Canis lupus familiaris: one gene and its partners. The protein of the gene in region 1 purifies or fractionates together with the protein of each later gene. This does not show direct contact. Links are inferred from orthologs where the notes say so. Each region holds a gene or a part of one and is shown on either strand. Other genes may lie near its edges.

The links. Proteins that work in one complex are often made in the same cells at the same time.
Region 2: the proteins of EXOC1 (region 1) and EXOC8 purify together in Homo sapiens (affinity purification with mass spectrometry; 3 studies listed by BioGRID and IntAct, counting the BioPlex papers as one, with this or other methods). This does not show direct contact. The link is inferred for Canis lupus familiaris from reciprocal best matches to the Homo sapiens genes EXOC1 and EXOC8.
Region 3: the proteins of EXOC1 (region 1) and EXOC6B purify together in Homo sapiens (affinity purification with mass spectrometry; 3 studies listed by BioGRID and IntAct, counting the BioPlex papers as one, with this or other methods). This does not show direct contact. The link is inferred for Canis lupus familiaris from reciprocal best matches to the Homo sapiens genes EXOC1 and EXOC6B.

What each region holds. Positions count from the first base shown.
Region 1 is NC_049234.1:48,917,388-48,920,898, reverse strand, and holds part of EXOC1 (exocyst complex component 1), read right to left. Parts: intron 2,910-3,511; coding exon 2,746-2,909; intron 1,959-2,745; coding exon 1,851-1,958; intron 423-1,850; coding exon 346-422; intron 1-345.
Region 2 is NC_049225.1:8,511,557-8,515,526, forward strand, and holds the start of EXOC8 (exocyst complex component 8), read left to right. Parts: upstream 1-1,170; 5' UTR 1,171-1,318; coding exon 1,319-3,502; 3' UTR 3,503-3,970. Other genes in the region: DNA-dependent metalloprotease SPRTN, read right to left, coding at 467-687. UniProt on the Homo sapiens protein: Component of the exocyst complex involved in the docking of exocytic vesicles with fusion sites on the plasma membrane.
Region 3 is NC_049238.1:50,495,445-50,499,528, forward strand, and holds the start of EXOC6B (exocyst complex component 6B), read left to right. Parts: upstream 1-1,284; 5' UTR 1,285-1,426; coding exon 1,427-1,539; intron 1,540-1,771; exon of another isoform or gene 1,772-1,948; intron 1,949-1,990; exon of another isoform or gene 1,991-2,163; intron 2,164-4,084. UniProt on the Homo sapiens protein: Component of the exocyst complex involved in the docking of exocytic vesicles with fusion sites on the plasma membrane.

The DNA of each region.
Region 1 (3,511 bases):
ATATTTTTTGAAGTTTTATTACTCAAAATATAACTTTGTATCATGTGTAAAGCTGGATCCTGAAATGTGCTTTGTAATTTCTGAGAAATATCCTGCAATTCAAATGCTACTTCTTACCAGCAAACATTAAAATTGATTGCATTTTTGTGTGTGTGTGTGTGATCACTACAGCAAAAAAGAGCTAAAGGGTCAGACAACAGGACGAATTTCAACTCAGACCTTTAAGGCACTGGGCAGACATGTCAGTGTTCTGAGTGTTGTGAAATACCAGAATCATCTGGCTCCTCAGTGAACAGTACTCCTTCTTCCCTTCAAAATAAACAACGGATAGTAACAAATACATACTCAGATGAAACAGGCAGTGGCACACCAGCATTATGCTGCCGGGAAAATGGTCCTCCATCGAGGTCCTCTGCTTCAGTCTGCAAAAATTATTCAGGTACTTTACATAATAAAAGACCAACAATTTGACTAGTTTATATAGCAAAAGCCTGCTCAGTCTTAAAATTCCTAGGAGAGAATAGATTATGAAAAATAATGATTTTTAAAGGTAGTATTACTGATAAAACTATATAATTTAGTATGTTGTTTAAGAATGTTTATAAAATGTTTTGTTCTTAGATTTTATCTGAGAATTATTGTGGGCTGAGAAGATAGGCTTGTGTGTCCCATGAAGGGAAAGTGTGGACAGAGAAATTACAGAAGGCTCTGAGGGGCTGTGGGAATGGGGGGAAGGTAGCTCAAAAAAACCCAGAAACAACTTTTAAGAGAGAATTTTAAAAATTAAAGAAATCTCATTAATCATTCAAATAAAACTCTGGCATTAAAAAAAATGCTATTAAAAACCCTTAGAGGGGCACCTGGGTGGCTCAATTGGTTAAGCCTCTACCTTTGCCTGAGGTCATGATCCCGGGATCCTGGGATGGAGCCCCACAAGGCAAGGGGCCCTCTGCTCAGTGGGGAGTCTGTTTCTCCCTCTCCCTCTGCCTGTGCTCCCCCTGCTTGTGCTCTCTGTTAAATAATAAATAAATAAAGTCTTAAAAAAAATTCTTAGGCTAACAAGCCAACTTACTACCATCATCATCTATAACAGCAAATTCATTTTATGATTGCTTTTTTTATGTTGACTCTGTTTTTTTAAGATGACCTGATATTTTTTTCAAGTAAGCTTTACACTCAACATGGGGCTCAAACTCATAGCCCCGAGATCAAGAGACATAATGCTCTATCAACTGAGCCAGCCAGGCATCCCAAGATGACTTTAATTTAAAAAATCACTTTATTTGCATTGTGCTTTTAAGTTTTTCAAAATATTGCAGCAGTCTCTCATTTCTTACATATGTGCCACCTGAGAGGCATGCTGAATAGGGATTATTATATTCATTGTACAGATAAGGAAAACTAGGGATTAAATAATTGGTTTAAAGTCTCATAGCTAGTTAGTAACAAAGACATAGGAAAGATTCAGATTTGGGGCTTGTTTCTTTCTTTTTCTTTCTTTTTTTTTTTTTTTTTGCTAGACCATGGTATATACACTGAAATATCTTTTTTCTTTTTGGCAATTATATTTTTTCTTTATGCTAAAATTGCTTTTTGAATAATATTTATTACAAAGTAAATTCAGACATTTTCCCCTCACTAATTTAGAGGAGTATTAAATCTGATGCTCAAACTCTAACTATCACTGTTTTTTTATTATCTTCTGGTATGATAAAAACTACTGAAAAAAATCCTTACACTGTGAATTTTTTCTTTTTTCTCTTCTGATATTGAAATTGTGACAATAAATTAATTAGGCTAATTATACTGCAGATCATAAATATTAGCCAATAAATAAATGTGAGCCATACCATAGTTCCAGGCATACTTTGATGTTGCTGTAGTTTGAAAAATTTACTTATGAAGTCCTGTTCTGCCAGACACAAGGGCTCTAGTTCACTTAGTACCTGTTCAAAGATCTGAAGAAAACAAAAATGAACTGCATCAAATGCTTAAAAAACTGCCACATTTAATTCACTTTTCTGTAGGGACCATAGATACTTTATCTATAATCTCAATAGAATCCCAAAAGCAACTACTCCAAGATTGATAGGATGATGCAGAAGTATCAAGGCTTAACAGGGCCAGGCATACCTAAAATAAAACTCACAATAATGATTCACTTGAAATCTGCAAAGAGGAACACAGAGATAAACTTTTTAAACTTAATGCATTGCAGAGAACAGTTTAACTTCATAAAAACTGTTATTTCCTCTTTACTTTGTAGTTGGCTCAAAGAACTTAGAGATGGGGATCCCTGGGTGGCGCAGCGGTTTGGCGCCTGCCTTTGGCCCAGGGCGCGATCCTGGAGACCCGGGATCGAATCCCACATCGGGCATCCCGGTGCATGGAGCCTGCTTATCCCTCTGCCTATGTCTCTGCCTCTCTCTCTCTCTCTCTCTATCATAAATAAATGAAAATTGAAAAAAAAATTAAAAAAAAAAAGAACTTAGAGATGCAAGCACTTAATCATTTTTTCATGTAATGATTTATAATAAATTCTAATAAAGCTGTTATATCAATGAATTGATAACACACAATTCAGTTGCCATCTGACTAGTATTTTTTTCAGATTCAGAATTCTAAAGTAAGATATGGTTAATTCATAGAGTCAACAAAGCCCAAATCCTCAAACATACTTAAAGCAATAACTGCTATTAGAAAACAAATGTTAATATTTAAGACATATTTGTTCCTTTATTTTACCTTATCAAATTTGGTCCTGTCGGCAACATCGAGATCAGAGGCAGACATGTTTCCCATATCCAACAAAGAAGATGACTGAGATCTGCGATTCCCTGAACTCTGAACGCTGAGTTTATTTAGACTAGAAGTAGATCCAGTTAATTTCCCAGAACTTCCATGAAGACCTAAGAAATAATAGAACTTTGAAAGTTGTGACCTTATGGACAAAAGACCCATAGCGTAAATGAGGGCTGTCTTCTACTGTCTTCGTCTTCAGTGCTCATATCAGTCATTGCACAAGTCTACTGCATGGGGTGGGGGTGGGGGAGCTGTAGAGTGTCCTGCTCTCTCATCAGCATTTGTGCCCTATTCTTCAGCATACTGTAAAGAATAGTGAAAACTACACAGATCTACAGAATAGGACTAAAGGGGTCTCATAATCTATACCTGGCCCAGTACCATCAAAGTCACCTGATATTTCCAGACTAAAGTAGATGGAAGATTTCCTTCCTACTCAAAAGACATAAATACAGATGAAGGCCAATGACTCCTTAGTGTACTAGCTAATGTGACTTTTTAAATTTTTTAATGACTTTTTTTAATTTCTGAAGAAAACAGCCATATTCCAATATTACTTGCCTCCACATTAAGTGAAAATATTGGGTTGAACCATATAAAACTGCTAGTACTCGATCATTCTTGCCCTACAAAAAGTCAATTACTATGATTCAACTTAACACATTCCAGAACCCCGAAACTCCGCTTTGTTACTGCTCTGTTCAGTAAA
Region 2 (3,970 bases), on another chromosome or scaffold:
ATCCCCGAAGATCCTTTCGGTCCAGAAATACGGAAACGTCAGCCCCGTCCCCCTCCTAACACCTGAGCTCACTACCAAGTGGTGACATCTCAAAGGGCACAGAAGAGGACAACACACATCTCTGGGAGGCTTCGCTGCCTCCTCGGCATTCTTTCTTAGGGGCTGACTCTGGGTGCTTCTCCCTCCTGGGTCAGAAACGTGTTAATTTATTTTCAAGTGAGGGGAGATCCAAAGACATCCTTTTCTCTCCCGGTGTCCTTTACAAATCAATCGGCTACCGGAATGGGCCACACAGCTAGCTTTCTTAAAGTTGTTGGAGAGGGAGGGAGACTAGGGGAGGGAGAGGGACAGCGAGAGGAGCTGCTGGTGTCCACCACGAGACCCCCAGGTTTCACGCCCCCCGGGACCGGGGGCTGCAGAGGAGCTGCCAGCCGCTCTCGCTTCCCCAGCGGGGCTCGGGACTCACAGGGTCATTCGCAGGCTCCACTTCACCTCGACGGCCTCCAGCTGGCCCCAGAAGAACCGATCGTTGAACTGCACAAACAGGGCCTGCAAGTCCGGGGTTGGGTCCACCAGCTCCCAGGACGCGTCCACCAGCGACAGGGGCGCCTGGGCCCGGTCGCGCTCCGATCCCTGCAAGTTCCACTCCTCCTGAAGCCGCAGTGCCAACACCAGATCCTCGTCCATCTCTGCCGGGATCCCAGGCGGCGTCCGAAGGCGTTAAGCAGGCTCCACGGATCCCAGGCTCCGAGAGCCTGGTCGAGCTCCTAAGAAGTACCGGCTCTCGGGCGGCTCTCGGGCCGGCCCGCCGATCTCGCGAGAACTCAGGAATAACTGGCTCTAGAACGAGAACTGAGTTTGCCCCAAACGCCGAGGCCAAGATTCTGGGGCTTAAAAAAGAGAACTCTGCAGGATACCTCCTAGTGGGCTCAAAACGGGGGCTCCCAGGGCCTGGACTCTAGGAAGGCGTCAGGAGACTGGCTACCGCCTTTACGCTCCGCCGCTCACTTCAAACACAAACGTCACGCCCGGCCCATGCGCAGTACCGCGTCTCGCCGCCTCGCCCTCCACTCTCTTCCGCAATAGCGCCTCCGGCGCATGGGCTCTAGGCCGCGGGCGCCCCTGCGCATGCGCGCTGCCTGCGCCCGGCCCCCTGCGCAGGCGCGGTGCCCGAAGCTCAGGCTCGGGCGCAGGCGTACTCGTCTCTCTTCCATCCTGCTTCCTCAGCCCCGGAGCTCGGCGGGGCTTGGGTGGGTCTCGACAGCGGCGGCACCGGCGGCGGCGGTAGTGACAGTGGCTTCGTGAGCCTCGGACGGAAATGGCGATGGCGATGTCGGACAGTGGGGCGAGCCGCCTGCGGCGGCAGCTGGAGTCGGGGGGCTTCGAGGCGCGGCTGTACGTGAAGCAGCTCTCGCAGCAGTCGGACGGCGACCGGGACTTGCAGGAGCACCGGCAGCGCATCCAGGCGCTGGCGGAGGAGACGGCGCAGAACCTGAAGCGCAACGTCTACCAGAACTACCGGCAGTTCATAGAGACGGCCCGCGAGATCTCCTACCTGGAGAGCGAGATGTATCAGCTCAGCCACCTGCTGACCGAGCAGAAGAGCAGCCTGGAGAGCATCCCGCTCACCCTGCTGCCGGCCGCCGCCGCCGCCGCCGCCGGGGCTGCCGCGGCCTCGGGCGGGGAGGAGGGAGGCGGCGGCGCGGGGGGCCGAGACCACCTGCGGGGCCAGGCTGGCTTTTTTCCCGCTCCCGGGGGCGCCTCCCGCGACAGTTCGGGTCCGGGCGAGGAAGGGAAGCAGCGCACCCTCACCACCTTGCTTGAGAAGGTGGAAGGCTGCAGGCACCTGCTGGAGACGCCGGGGCAGTACCTGGTGTACAACGGGGACCTGGTGGAATACGAGGCTGACCACATGGCGCAACTGCAGCGGGTGCACGGCTTTCTCATGAACGACTGCTTGCTGGTGGCCACCTGGCTGCCACAGCGGCGGGGGATGTATCGCTACAACGCCCTCTATCCCCTGGACGGTTTGGCCGTGGTCAATGTCAAGGACAACCCGCCCATGAAGGACATGTTCAAGCTGTTGATGTTTCCCGAGAGCCGTATTTTCCAGGCGGAGAATGCTAAAATCAAACGGGAGTGGCTGGAAGTGCTGGAGGAAACCAAGAGGGCCCTCAGTGAAAAGCGGCGAAGGGAGCAGGAAGAGGCAGCGGCCCCTCGCGGACCACCGCAGGTGACTTCCAAAGCCGGGAACCCATTTGAGGATGAGGAAGAGGACGAACCAGCTACTCCTGAGGTAGAAGAGGAGAAGGTGGATCTCTCAGTGGAGTGGATCCAGGAGTTGCCCGAAGACCTGGATGTCTGTATCGCGCAGAGGGACTTTGAAGGAGCCGTTGACCTGCTGGACAAATTGAACCACTACCTAGAAGATAAGCCCAGTCCACCTCCTGTTAAAGAACTAAGGGCCAAAGTGGATGAGCGGGTCCGACAGCTCACCGAGGTGCTAGTTTTCGAACTGTCCCCGGATCGTTCCCTGAGAGGCGGTCCCAAGGCGACTCGAAGGGCAGTTTCTCAACTCATCCGCCTTGGCCAGTGCACAAAGGCTTGTGAGCTGTTTTTGAGAAACAGGGCAGCAGCTGTGCATACTGCAATACGTCAGCTTCGTATCGAAGGCGCCACTTTACTCTACATTCATAAGCTCTGCCACGTGTTCTTTACCAGCCTTCTTGAGACTGCGAGGGAATTTGAGACGGATTTTGCAGGCACTGACAGCGGCTGCTACTCTGCCTTTGTGGTCTGGGCGAGATCAGCCATGGGCATGTTTGTGGATGCTTTTAGCAAGCAGGTGTTCGATAGTAAGGAGAGCCTCTCCACGGCGGCTGAGTGTGTAAAAGTGGCAAAGGAGCACTGTCAGCAACTGGGTGACATCGGACTGGACCTCACCTTCATCATCCATGCCCTTCTGGTGAAGGACATCCAAGGGGCCTTGCACAGTTACAAAGAAATCATAATCGAAGCCACTAAGCATCGCAACTCTGAGGAGATGTGGAGGAGGATGAACTTGATGACCCCAGAAGCCCTGGGCAAACTCAAAGAGGAGATGAAGAGTTGTGGGGTAAGAAACTTTGAGCAGTACACAGGAGATGACTGCTGGGTGAACCTGAGTTACACGGTGGTTGCCTTTACCAAACAGACCATGGGCTTCTTGGAAGAAGCGCTGAAGCTGTATTTCCCAGAGCTGCACATGGTGCTTTTGGAGAGCCTGGTGGAAATCATCCTGGTTGCTGTGCAGCATGTGGATTATAGCCTTCGGTGTGAGCAGGATCCGGAGAAAAAGGCTTTTATCAGACAGAATGCGTCCTTTCTGTATGAGACCGTCCTCCCTGTGGTGGAGAAAAGGTTTGAAGAAGGTGTGGGGAAACCCGCCAAGCAACTCCAGGACCTGAGAAATGCATCTAGACTTATTCGCGTGAACCCCGAAAGTACAACATCAGTGGTCTGATGCTTGGCTCTGTGTATATGTATACGTATATATTGCTTATATATTATTTATATTTATATTAAGTTGCATTAGGATACTCTTTATAGTCTTGAACACAGCTTAAAAGTAAAAGACACCCTCTCAAATAAAAATGCAGAATCAAAAGAAAAAAAGAAAGAAAAAGAGTTCAAATTAAGCCCAAATAACAAAACATTGGAATTATTAAAATATATGCTTCCTTTTTAAATTATGCTAACTCTCTAATGAATATATTGCCACACTATAGCATTTCAGTGTATCCTTTTGAGTCATAACACACTTTCTTACAGTATATATTAGGCAGCACAGAAAAATAATATAAGTATGTGGTGTTTAAGTATGTTGTGAAGTTTCCCCGTTCACTAAAATGTTAGGTATCTTTAAGAGTACAAGTGCCGTGCAAAACGACCTGCTTCATACACTCCCCCCGCCTTAAAATGTGATCAAACA
Region 3 (4,084 bases), on another chromosome or scaffold:
AACTTTCAGTTTGGTACTTATATGCCTTTTTCTGTTGATGGCAAACCATTCACCCAGTCATTCTGCTCCAAACCTTGGAGTGATACCCAAGGTCCTCCAACTCAACATCTAGTAAGTCATGCCAATTCTGCTTTTTTCCATTTGTTCATTCTCTTTCATTCTCATTGCTACATCCCTGGTTTAGGCCTTAAAATTCTTAAAGTGTTCAGCCGTTTCCAAATTTTCTATCTCTGTGGACGTCGCACATTTGCCTTTCATTCCATTCATCGTATAATGTAAAAACTCAAGCAGTAATCAATAAATATGATTTAAAAATTCTAATCTGGGGAATTTATGAAATGCAAATGCCTGGATCAGAATGTCCAGATGGTGTAGGACCTTTAGTCTGTATTTAAAAAACGCATCCAAGTGCTTCTGATGCAGTCGGTTGTTGGACCGGTGGAACCATTAGAATAAAGCACAAATTTCCTCAGCCTGATATTTCTCTTTAGGGTACCTTTGCAGCTCCATCTTTTACTACTACTTCTCTACACGCCAGCGCATATGAAGTTTTTGTTGGCCTTCGTGAGGATCCTAACACCTTCCAATCACACCTTTTAAACTACCAGGCCCAGTCTTTCTATGAATATCTTCACAGCCAGAAGTGATCCCTGAACTCGATTCTCAGACCTGGCTCACAGCCACATTCTGTCTTACTCCTTAGTTTGGGGATTCTCCAGCTTTCTCTCCTTGGGAGCTTGTAAGATCGCTTTCTGCAGAAACCCAGTTTGCTGTGTCTTATTGTTCGCGTGCACAGAGCCTTGTTCACATCGTGGCAAGGGTCCTCTACAAGGATGTGCAGGATCAGTGCCATTGCCTGACTTGGTCACCGTTGCACATGCGGTGTCGTTAAATGTTCCCGGCTTCTAGTGGGGCTTTCTACGCGCATTTGTGGATTCAAAGAATCAAGAAGCAGGAGCAGGGGGAACATAAAAAATAGTGAAAGGGAATAAAGGGGAAAGGAGAAAAAATGAGTGGGAAATATCAGAGAGGGAGACGGAACACGAGAGACTCCTAACTCTGGGAAACGAACTAGGGGTGGGGGGAGGGGAGGTGGGCACTGAGGGGGGCACTTGACGGGATGAGCACTGGGTGTTATTCTATATGTTGGCAAGTTGAACACCGATACAAATAAATTTATTAAAAAAAAAAAAAAAAAAAAGAAGCAGGACCGCGTCGGTCACCGCCCAGGGAACTGCAAGTCCCAGCGGGCATTGCGCGGGACGTCGGCGGACGCGGTGACGCAAGGGGGCGTGGCGAGCCCGAGGGAGGGGTCGTCCTGCGGGCAGCCGGAGGCCGGGGAGGCTCTGGAGCCTAGGGCGAGAGAGGAGCGAGGAAGGTGAGCAGAAGCGAAGGAGGGGACGCGCTGCCCGGCGCCCCCCAGTCTATGGAGCGGGGTAAGATGGCGGAGGCGGAGAGCCTGGAGACAGCCGCGGAGCACGAGCGGATCCTGCGCGAGATCGAGAGCACTGACACGGCCTGCATCGGGCCCACCCTCAGGTACCCCGGGGACCCGGGCCACCGATGGGCGGGCACGGGCGGGACAGGGGCCGGGCCCCTTCGGGGTCGTGCGCCCGGCCGGCCGCTCGCGGGGCCAGCGCCGGCCCCGCCCTTCGGGGATCCCCGCGAGCCACCTCCCCGCTCGGCGAGGCGGGTCTCCGTCCACCGCCCGGACGTGGGGTCCCTCCTCAACCGCCGGCGCGCACAGCCCAGTTACTCCGCAGCCTCCTCTTGCCTTCGCCGGGCCGGGGCAGTCTTGGTTCTGCCTCCCAGGCTGGCGCGGAGCTGGGCGACTAGAGCGCGCCCCGCAGAGGGTAGCCCTCAGCGAATCCTGCCCCTGGGGACCTCGCCCTTCTCCGGCTCAGACCCCATCCTGCCCTAGACCAGAGTCCTGCTCTACGGACGAAACGTAAATTCACCCTCGGTCTGATGATCGGAAGTTAAACTCGTGCCTCCTGAAAATCACAGCCACTTCTCAGAAACGAGTTTCTGAAAATCTTAGGCCTGGAAGGAAGGAAGTTCCCCTCAACCCGCGCCCCTCTCCCGGGAGCGGGTACTTGCCGAAGCCCGTTAGGAGGACGACCTCTTCCAAAGGCGCAGCCTCATGTAGTCTCATCGTTGAGAGAAAGTATCACCCCTTCTGCCTGCCCCCCTCATACCATTACTTCCCCCTCCCCCTTATTTATCTATCTATCTATTTATTTATAGATTTTATATATTTATTCATGAGAGACCCAGAGAGAGAAGGGCAGAGACACAGGCAGAGGGAGAAGCGGGCTCCATCTGGGGAGCCCGGGGCGGGACTCGATCCCAGGACTCCAGGATCACGACCTGAGCCACAGGCAAGAGGCTCAAGCACTGGGCCATCCATGCGCCCCCCCTTCACCCCCATTTAGTTTGTAGATGTCAAAACAAACCTCCACTTTCTTCGACTTCATGCATTTATCAAAAACTTAGGCACCCCTTACTAGGAAATTGCAAGACATTGTGTTAAGCAATTGACAAATGGAACTTAAAAGGCAGAGTAGTCCTATTAGGTGGATGCTATTACTACCCTCAGTTTATAGATGAGGCACAGAGACTTTAAGTGATTTGCTCAAGGTCACAGAGAAAGTGGGGGAGTAGTGAGTCCTACTCAGGCTGTCTGGATCCACGGTCTTAATTTTTTTTTTTTTCATATTCTTTTATTGGAGTTTGGTTTGCCAACATAGAGGATAACACCCAGTGCTCATCCCGCCAAGTGCCCCCCTCAGTGCCCGTCACCCAGTCACCCCAATCCCCGCCCACCTCCCCTTCCACTACCGCTTGCTCCTCATAGTCTTAATTCTTAACCTCTGTTATGTCTCAATTGGTGATTATCATCTCTCTGTACTTCCTGTTAATTACTCACCAAATTCAATTTCAAACCACCTTTCCCTTTCCCCTCACTTTACTGAGGCCCTGAAACTAACTCATCTTCATCTTTCCTGTTGTACATCCTGATCTTCTTCATGCAGTCAGTAGATAGATAATTCTCCTACCTACCTTGTACAGTCTTGGCGGACTGTTCCTCCCTTAAAAAAGAAGTTATAAATCACTGCCTTTTTTTTTTTTTTTTTTTTTTCTTCCCATAGGGAGAGTTGCCTTATGAAAGAGTGTTTGAAGGAGGAGGAGGCGGAGACTTTACTCCTCATCTCCACTGCACATCTTTCTTCTCTGGGTCACCTTGTTAGCCTACTTCCCTCTGTACCTTCTCTGTCAAGACCATTCTAAGTAGTTTGCCTTTGTCCCTTATGGCACTGGGATCATGACTATCATATTCCTTTCTTTTTTCATTTTCTTGAGCTCTTAAGGATGAATGTTCCTTCTTTCATTATCTTTATTATTTTTTAAGATTTTAAAAATTTTATTTGAGAGAGGGAGAGCAGGAGTGGGAGGGAAGGGCAGAGGGACAAGCAGGCTCCCCGCTGAGCAGGGAGCCCAGATATGTGGTTGGGTCCCAGGACCCGGAGATCATGACCTGAGTTGAAGGCACACGTTTGATCTGCCTTGAGCCACCCAAGCACCCTTCATTATCTTTACTTTATAAAAACTACAGACTGCTTACTAGTATTCTAAGTGCAGTTCTAATGGTTATTGACATCGGTTTTTTTTTTTTTTTTTTTAAAGATTCTATTTATCTATTCATGAGAGAGGCATTTATCTATTCTCACAGAGAGAGGCAGAGATATTAGGCAGAAAGAGAAGCAGGCTCCATGCAGGGAACCTGCCGAGGGACTCGATCCTGAGCCAGAGGCAGATGCTCAACCGCTGAGCCACCCAGGTGTCCCAACATTGGGTTTTTATAGCACAAAATGTTACTGGAGTTACTGAGGATGCTGTTTCAGTATTTTACTAAGAAATTTGGCTACTGAGCTGCAGTTCGCAGCCAAGCAAAGTTCTCACTGGAGTAGTTGGGATTACCAGAGTTTTTAGGAAGGGTTCTTTATCAGAATACCCTCAATATTGTCTTGAGTTGGTTGTGGTTTTCAATTGCTGTCAGTCTTGGTTTATATTAATTTAGTGT